Danio rerio: one gene and its partners. The protein of the gene in region 2 interacts with the protein of the main gene of each other region in a biochemical or structural test. Links are inferred from orthologs where the notes say so. Each region holds a gene or a part of one and is shown on either strand. Other genes may lie near its edges.

Region 1 (3,667 bases), on a different chromosome or scaffold from region 2:
ATAACTATAGCAGCATGTATAATACTGAGGTTTTGGAAAGACAATGCTCTTTACTTAAATTATGAATGGAATTAATGACTGAGAATGTGTCGTTAGCCCAAATGAATGGCAGTCATAAGTAGGGTTTCTACAGGTTAAATTTAAGACATTTAAAGACATTTTTAAGACCATTATGAATTAAATTTTAGACTTATCTAGCATTAGCATTAGCTAAATGCTAAGGATTTTGTCGAATGGCTCAGTTGGAAAAAAATGTTTATTTGCCCTATCAAACTTTTTTTTAATTAATTGAATAAATGCAATAATATTTGAGTTAAATCTGAGTTAAATATTTTAAATATTGTGTCAAAGCAAGCAAGCTCTATTTGTATACATACACATTATTTCAACATAACCTTTCTTAAATATATATATATATATATATTAATGTTTTGAAGGTTTAAAAAAACTATAAAAAACTATGTATGCACAACAATCTGTCCAGGTCAGCTTCCTCAGCAGTAAATAAAGGAAATGAATTCAACCATCATGGTAAATAGAGTTAAACAAAAAGTTAAAAGTTTTATTGAAATGAATTGTTGGTGAGTGGATGGGTGTTAATGGCCTTGATTGGGTAGCTATACATGGACAAAGGAAAATTAAGACCTGTTAAAAAAAGATTTAAGACCCACAACACATAATGTGAGTAGGTTTAGGATGTTTTAAGGCCTACAATTTTGTTTTTGAGATTTAAGACATTTAAAGACACACTGATAAGAAAGTTGATCTATGGGAGAATTTCATTTCTTCACCTAAACAACAAACGTGTTTACCCTGTTGTGCTCTTTAGTATCATCTTTATGCATCTCTTACTGTTTTCCTAATTATTTTTTCTAATTTTTTAACAGTTTATTTTTCTAAACTGTGAAAAAAATTGTGTGCATTTTGTATGGTACTGTATGTTATATTAAGAGGAAACCAATAAAAACTACATTTTCAAAAAAATAAAAAAATAACGTAAAGTAAAGACAATTAAATTGAGGTGAAACGGTGGCGCAGTGGACATCACTGTCACCTCACAGCAAGAAGGTTGCTGGTTCGAGCACCGGCTGGATCAGTTGGCATTTCTGCGTGGAGTTTGTATGTAGTGTGTCTCCCATGTAGTGTATGCGTGTATGCCATGCTCCTCCAGGTTGGGGGTTGACCATTGGGCTAACAACCCACTTCATAAAAACTAGATGCTACCAAACACCAACATGGTGAGGCTAAATATCAACTTCAATATAAAATGGCCCTGGGAGTAAGTAGGTTAGGACAATTAAATTGCTACAAATTATTTAAATTTCAAGTTTTCCATATTTCTTGGGAAACAAATTAGCACGTTAGAAACATTTATGAAGAATTATGTGACTCTGAAGACTGGAGAATTTATGTAGAATATTCAAATTCATCATCATGGAAATAAATCAAATTTGAAAATGTTTAGAAATAGAAAACATCACAGTTTAACTACATCTTTGATCTAACATACACATCCTACTGCTCAAATCCATTCTAGATAAATGATCTGATGATTGCACAAACATAAATGCAACTCAGCTGGAGACACGACAGAGGTATAGTGTTGACACGGAGATAAATTTAGCCTAAAAAGTACCACAGACTCACCAGGAAGACTTGGTTGTCGCTTTCACTGAGCTTCGTGTCATCAGGGCTGTCCACGGGAGTCTGACTAGTGAACTTTGAGTCAAACTGGCTAACATCATCTGCGGATTGCTGCAAAAACATATATCTGTGAGGCAATGTGATCCAACACAACATATTACAACATACACAACACATGACTATTAGCAATAAGAGAAATCTGCAGAGAGTTGATCCTACCAAAAAGGGTTTGAATGGAGGATCAATTTTGAATGCCAGCAGATCATCCCAGTTTATGTGTCTGAAGAAAGAGTGGCGCTAAAAACAAATGCTCTTTTAAAAATACAGAACACTCCATTATATATGTAAATGTCAGGTATGCATGATTAATAGATTCAAAGTATCAGAAAAGCAGATACCTGGATGTCTAGAACATCTCTAGGACTTGCTCCAATCCGTACCGATGCATTTCTCTTCAGCAACTGGATGCAAATAGCAGGCACACACACAAACTCAGTTTAATTAAGCAATAAGACTGAATATCTCGCTAAAGCTGATTGACTGATTTACCTTTTTGAGGAGGTCTCGAGCCTCTTGGGTGAGGTACGGTGGAAGGTTTAGTTTGCACTTCAGGATTTTGTCAATGGTCTTTTTCCGATTCTCCGCTGTGAACGGGGGCTGAAAGTAAAAGGGTTTAAATGTTAAGAGCATGCAGTCGGGGTAAACTTAAGTTTGTATTCCCTGTACAACTCCTTGAGATATTTAAAATATTCACAATAAAGTTTACTTTGTTTTTACCCCTTGTGTGCTGTCAGGATTGTTTTCATCTACTCTGGGCTGATTTTAACTTCTACTTTGCCCACAAGTTTCTTTGCGTTTCAGCAAATGGTACGATTTTTGACACATATTTTGGGTAAATGCTTTGAAAATGTTCAAAAAGTTAACACATTCTGGGGAAATTGACTACTCTTTCGTTATGTTAGTGGTTGTTTTTGCCCCGTTGACTTCCATTATAATGACATTATTTGATTGCAAAGCCATGACACCCTACAATCATGCATGCGTCCTTGTTGCGAAGAGACAAATTTTTTATTTTTTGCTGTTGATCATCAGTTGCAGTACAAAAAAATGTAAGTTTCTGGCTTTTATCTTGAGTATAGTGTGTGTCTGTTACTGTGAGACCTTTCCTTCCCACTTACCTTGATATGTCAGAGAGAATCTAAATAAGCACCCCTGCTCTCAGGGCAAAGTAATCATAGTAAGTATATTTATACACGCACACTATAATCTGTTGTTTTACTCCATAGAACTCTATATAACAGCAAGACTTTTTTTTGCCCAGGCCTATTTAAAGGTTTAATGCTGCCAACTGATGATCAACAGTGAAAATGACAATTTTTACCTCTTCCCAACAGGGAAAACCACCAACAATCAAAAATGCATGATTATATGGTGTCAAGACTTTGGAATAAAAAAATATCAATATAATGGAAGTCAATGGGGCATAAACAGCCACGACTTCAGCCATGACTTCTCCCATAGAAATATGTAATCCCAAAGCAAAGAAAATTCATTTTAAAATTCTTCACAAAATATACCCAGTCAATGCATTTATCTCAGAATTAACTGATATTGCAGATACTTGCTCTCTCTGTCAGGAAAGTGAGGAAACTTTCACTCACGTGTTTTTTTACATTTAAAATCTCACAAAAGTTTTGGTCAGATTTACATAATTATTTGAATAAATCACAATCAAAAAAACAAATCTTTAAAATGAAAGATATTAATTGTTATTATTCTAGTCCCAAAAATAAAAATGAAGAATATATTTATATATTTTCTTATATTTTATGCGAAATTCTTTATCCACAAACAAAAATGTCTTAAATCCTCTCCCTCATTTGCACATTTTTTTAAATTATAATTGATTAATTGCTTAAAGGTATAGGTTTATCTAACAACAATTTTGCAAGTTAATAGAAACTTATGAAAATATCATGCTTCCAGCAAGTTAGTCTTTAATGCTTTCTGTGTTTTTTCATTT
Region 2 (3,667 bases):
CAAATGGCATCCTTATTTGAAGCTTACAAAACCGAGCAAGACATATTTTATTTGCTGTGTTTTTGTTTCATACTCAAGCTGAGCCAAGATGAAGCCACCACTTTCTACGATGAACTGAACCACCACATTTTTGAGTTGGTTTCCAGCTCAGATGTGAATGAGAAAAAAGGCGGTATCCTTGCCATAGGTGAGCATGAAAATCACTTTATATATATATATATATATATATATATATATATATATATATATATATATATATATATATATATATATATATATATATATATATATATATATATATATTTATTTAATTTTTTTAGTTTAACTTTTTTTTTATTGATACATATCAGCAGTGGCGTTTCTAGTTTAAATGGCACCGTGGGCGAACCCCCCCAAATACATTCCATCCCCTTAGTAATAAAGACGCTATGTGGTTTACTTCATATATATTTTATATATATTTATACACATTTAAATATATATATAAAAAAAATTATATATATATATATATATATATATATATATATATATATATATATATTAAATACATTTAAATATATTTCTTTATTTTTAATAAACAACAATTTATTTATATTATTTTAAACAATTACAATTATTATTATTATACAACTATTATTCTAAATAAATAACAAATCAATCCTAAATGTAAATGAAAACAATGTAACTGCAGAGATATGCTAAGATCACTTTTAAATCTTCTGCATGAATATTAAACTTGATAACTATTGAATACAAAAGATATGTTTTATAGCATTATCTGTTGTTTTAGACCCGACTCATGGTCGAGAATGAATGTTATTAAGTGTCATCATCTCTCCTTTCTGCTTCATAGCCATGCTCAAAAAAAGATCATTATCATATAATAACTTATAATAATAGCTTTGTTGACTTGCAAAACTAGCTGCGTGCCGGCACCGCTGTTACTCTGGTTTCACAGCACATGAGCGGCGTGTTTTTTATTGGCGTGCATGTAAACAACTAGGATTCACACCATGAGCAGGAGCAGTGCGTGAGGCACGCGGGAACTGTTTTCTGCATACATACGTCAATTTGTTTTGACCAGCGTTGTTTCAGTTGCAAATAGACAATAATAAACTTGCACGTGCAAAAGATGCAAAATGTGAATAACCCCTAACGTCTTTATTCTGGGATTACCACCCCAAATGAATTCACTTGCATAAAGTAAATTGTATTCTAAAGCTTTACTAGGCCACATTTGATTGAAACTGGGGCACTTTTTTTTGCACCATCTTCATGTGCCACCCCCAGCAAGATGCCGCCCTCGGGGACCGTCCATAATGCCCATGCCTAAATCCGCCACTGCGTATCAGTTACAGTATCAAATATTAACAATAATCAGTAAGACATCAACTGTTCCAATCTATAGTAGAAAACAAAATTAATTCATATTTTCTTTTTCTCTAAACCAAACAGTATATAATTGCACCCAAAAGAATATTTAGGGCAAAACACAAAATGTATAATAATAATAATAATATTAATAAGATAAATAAAGTAACATTATAAATAAAACTAACACATATTCGGCTATACAGCAATACAGAAAAAATATATGTATACAGTTAAAGTCAGAATTATTAGCCCCCCCATTTGAATTTTTTTTCTTTTTTAAATATTTCCCTAATGATGTTTAACAGAGCAAGGAAAGTTTTACAGTAGGTCTGATAATGTTTTTTTCGTCTGGAGAAAGTCTTATTTGTTTTATTTTGGCTAAAATAAAAGCAGTTTTTAATTTTTTTAAACCTATTTTATTTTTTTAAACCTATTTATTATTAGCCTCTTTAAGCTATATTTTCATTTGATAGTCTACAGAACAAGCCATCATTATACAAAAACTTGCCTAATTACCCTAACATGCTTAGTTAACCTAAATAACCTAGTTAATCCTTTAAATGTCCCTTTAAGCTGTACAGAAGTGTCTTAAAAATATCTAGTCAAATATTATTTACTGTCATAATGGAAAAGATAAAATCAATCAGTTTTTAGAGATGAGTTATTAAACTATTATGTTTAGAAATTTGTTGGAAAAATCTGCCCTCCGTTAAACAGAAATCGGGGGGAAAAAACCGGGGGGATAATAATTCAGGGGGGCTAATAATTCTGACTTCAACTGTAAATATTTTGTTATTTATATTGTAATAGAATATGTAAACTGAAGCGGTAATATTACGTGTGACCATTAAATAGCATGGATTGAAATGTGTTTTCTTTAGCTAATGTGTAATATGCATCTATCCAGTGAGCCTGATTGGAGTGGAGGGAGGAAATGCCACCCGTATCAGCCGCTTTGCCAACTATTTGCGGAACCTGCTTCCGTCCAGTGACTCAGTGGTCATGGAGATGGCCTCTAAAGCCATGGGTCACCTGTCCATGGCGGGAGACACCTTCACTGCAGAGTATGTGGAGTTTGAGGTGAAGAGAGCTCTGGAGTGGCTGGGAGCAGACAGGAATGAAGGCAGACGACATGCAGCGGTGCGTAGATCATATTACTATTTAGGATGCTTTCACACCTACACTTTTTTTTCGGAACGTATCTTGTTTGCCCAGTTAGCGCGGTTCGATTGGCATATGTGAACAGGGCAATCGCACTCTGTTCCGCGCCAAAGTAATCGCTCCGAGATCGCTTGAATTAGGTGGTCTCGGCTCGATTGAAACGAACCCTGGAGCGGTTCGATTGCAGTGAGAAAGCGATCCGATCCGAGCGCGGTTATATCACAGTGTTTTGTGCATATGTAATAGGCTTACGGCTATATGAAGAGAGAGTTATGAGTAGGGCAGGAAGTTTCGCGAGTCTTCGGATGCCCGCAAACACAAACGAACTGCTCCAAGAGCAAAGAGCAACAATGTAACAATTGTAATCTCTGTTTCGGAACAACTGAATCGATTCACAGGTGTGAAAGCACCCTTAGTTGACAACTAAATTGCCCGTTATACACTATTATCAACCTTAATACACTTTTTTTTAACCAGTCTCACTGTTATGCTGAGATAAAAACCTTATTATAAAACTTTAATGTCTGAAGACAATTTTCTAACCCATTTTAAGGAGAGACAATGCCATTTTATGAAGTAGAAGTTGAAATTATTCATGACCAGAAGCACAAAACCAGTCATAAATGTCATATTATTATTGTATTATTGTTATTGTAAATAAATTATATAAACATTTGCATATCAGTCAATAATATTACTGAAATTAATATGAATAAAAATTAATCTACACACAATTTAATAAGTAAATAGATAAGACTCAATGATGGGCTAAAAACTCTGCCCACTAATCGCATACAAGAGCTTGTATTTACATAATTTATGTATACTGTGTCTCATATGTAAATATAAATAACAAATAACTTAAATGTGTACACACACATACATTATACGCATTACCTGACAAAAGTCTTGTCATCGATTCCAGTTGTAAGAGCAACAAATAATAACTTGACTTCTGGTTGATCATTTGTAAAAGTATCAGAAGGTAGATTTTTCAGATGAATCATCTATTGAACTGCATCCCAATCATCACAAATACTGCAGAAGACCTATTGAAACCCACACGGACACATGATTCTCACAGAAATCAGTCAAGTTTGGGGATGAAAAAAATCATGGTTTGGGGTTACAT
Region 3 (2,321 bases), on a different chromosome or scaffold from region 2:
AGTAAAAAACAATACAATAATTTCTGTTTTTCAAAATTAATTTATAAAGAACTGTTGAATTTAAGTTTCTGTGTAACTGTAATGGGTTATATGCACATGGACTTTTAATTTTAGTCAGCCAGCCTCAGCAATCTTTCCATTTATAAAATTGCCATGTTAAGGTCTGATTTCTTTAAAAAATTAATGATATTCACTGCCTGATAGATATAGGATATAAAGTGGATCTCACACCGGCCAAGAAGAACTGCGTCAAATTCCATTTCCCGCCATCACATCTTAAAAATGTGGCCGTTTATTTTACCCCAGTGTTTCTACTGTCAGAGTTTCTGCGCTCGCCTGCTGATCCTGACTGCTAGTGGTTACTTGGTCTTTAATTTCGATTTCCCTTGAACAACTAAATAAATGAATAAGTCTATTCAACTGAATGTACTTTAACTACATTACAACATGGATGATGTAAAAGAAGCCATATGAAATTGAAAATAGTCACATTAACCTTTTACCCTTGTTTGTAACCCACAATCAATTTGTACATAAACGAAATATGGCAAAGAGAATGGGACAACTGCATAAAAAATAAATTACATGAAATTAACCCGTAAATAAACAAAAGGCATTTAGCAAATTATAGTTTTGAGACCAGACATGATCAAACGGTCTATACCAGATGTCGAATCGGACATTTTAGGTTTGCTGAATAACGAAGAATCACCTAAATGTAATGTACTGCCAGGCTGCTCTTACCATAAAACAGATTTTGTTGGAATGTAGAAGTTTAAAATCCATTTGACAAAATTTTTATAAGGAGGGTATTTTGATGGACATCTTTAAAAAGGTACCACCCGGAAGAGTTTTAAATTATTTATCAAAAATTGAACTGAAATATCATATTTAACTTTGAAAAAGAAATGTGTGCCATTTTATCTATTAATATTTTATATATTTGTCTATGTAACTTTTTTTTTGTAATATGAATTTGTTTTTATCATTTAATATTTTATGTACATCCATTTTGCCACGAAATAGCCATAAGTTGCTGATGTGGCAAGAAATAAATAATATATAAATAAATTAACCTTTCACAGGAAGTTTATCATTGGCTGAAAAACAAAAAACAAAAAAAATCCCTTACTTTTTTTTTTTGAGGATAAGTAATTTAATGAAAGTAACTTATTACAGCCAACCCACCTTCTTATAATACTGTGTGTTGCCATGTTTCCCCAGAATCCCTCACTCTGGACATGGAGTTGAGCTCTGATCATGCGTCACCCATGAGAGAAGGGTTTGCAGCCTCCACAGTCTCGGATATGGACACCTGCCGAAATGCTTAGTTTTCCAAGATTTTAGTTTCATTTTTTTTTTTTTTTTTTTCCATTGGGAAAAGCAATTTTCATGTATATAGTGAGCTTAGGTGCTACAACTGCTTTCTCTCTCCGAGCCAAATTTTGCATTTCTTTTTTTGATTTTACAGTCAGTCAAAAGTGCAAACAAGCTAAAGTTTTCATTTCAACCTCGACAATACTGAAGTTGACTTTAAAATTAAAAAAAAAAAAATAATAATGGTTACACTGTAAAAAATGCTTTTCTTGTTTAAAGTTTTTGTCTTGTTTCTAGTCCAAATATCTACAAAATCTTAAAGGGCACCTATTTTACCCCTTTTACAGGATGTAATAATCTTTTGGTGTCTCTAGAATGTGTCTGTAAAGTTTCAGCTCAAAATACTCATCAGATTATTTATTATAGTAACCAGAATCTGCACATTTCGGTGTCTGAATACAGTGTAGCTGTTTCTGTAGCATGTCTTTAAATGCAAATAATCTACTTCTCCCCACCCACCGTTTCCACATGCGTGTCTGCTTCTATTACACCCCAAGACTAGGGGAAAACAACATGGGCTTAATAAACGGGGGAAAAAGTGTTGTGGGTGGTGGATTTCCCAAACAAAACAAAAAACTTGATGCAAAAGATCCCCCTCGGACATTCAGATGAGAGTGGTTGATAGATTTATTATAGAAAAATAGGCCAAAATAACAAACAAAAGACAAAGTAAATGAACTAAATTACTTATGTATATTTAAAGAAAAATACAAGAAGCTTACCTTCCTCCTTAAATATAAACAGTCAAAAGTAATCAAATAAATAGGCAGGCCACCTCTACAAGCTCAAACTCTCAAAACGTTGCAAGCATGAACAGTTGTACAAGACTAAAGGTTGGTCGTCTGCCGGAGAGGTAGGGAAAATCCAGAAGCTCTCCACTCCCAGCAACCCTTGCACCACAAATGAGCTCCCCGAACCCTTCCGTAAGTTCCTTTTAATAGGCC

What was found.
Region 1: of the proteins of mtor (region 2) and rps6kb1a, one has a biochemical effect on the other in vitro, tested with the Homo sapiens proteins (18 studies listed by BioGRID and IntAct, with this or other methods). The link is inferred for Danio rerio from reciprocal best matches to the Homo sapiens genes MTOR and RPS6KB1.
Region 3: the proteins of mtor (region 2) and stat3 form a complex in vitro, tested with the Homo sapiens proteins (2 studies listed by BioGRID, with this or other methods). The link is inferred for Danio rerio from reciprocal best matches to the Homo sapiens genes MTOR and STAT3.

Annotation. Positions count from the first base shown.
Region 1 is NC_133185.1:33,095,892-33,099,558, forward strand, and holds part of rps6kb1a (ribosomal protein S6 kinase beta-1), read right to left. Parts: intron 2,302-3,667; coding exon 2,194-2,301; intron 2,106-2,193; coding exon 2,043-2,105; intron 1,942-2,042; coding exon 1,864-1,941; intron 1,756-1,863; coding exon 1,648-1,755; intron 1-1,647. UniProt on the Homo sapiens protein: Serine/threonine-protein kinase that acts downstream of mTOR signaling in response to growth factors and nutrients to promote cell proliferation, cell growth and cell cycle progression.
Region 2 is NC_133183.1:56,036,596-56,040,262, reverse strand, and holds part of mtor (serine/threonine-protein kinase mTOR), read left to right. Parts: intron 1-78; coding exon 79-187; intron 188-2,281; coding exon 2,282-2,514; intron 2,515-3,667. UniProt on the Homo sapiens protein: Serine/threonine protein kinase which is a central regulator of cellular metabolism, growth and survival in response to hormones, growth factors, nutrients, energy and stress signals.
Region 3 is NC_133178.1:15,780,278-15,782,598, forward strand, and holds the end of stat3 (signal transducer and activator of transcription 3), read left to right. Parts: intron 1-1,224; coding exon 1,225-1,331; 3' UTR 1,332-1,771; downstream 1,772-2,321. UniProt on the Homo sapiens protein: Signal transducer and transcription activator that mediates cellular responses to interleukins, KITLG/SCF, LEP and other growth factors. Once activated, recruits coactivators, such as NCOA1 or MED1, to the promoter region of the target gene.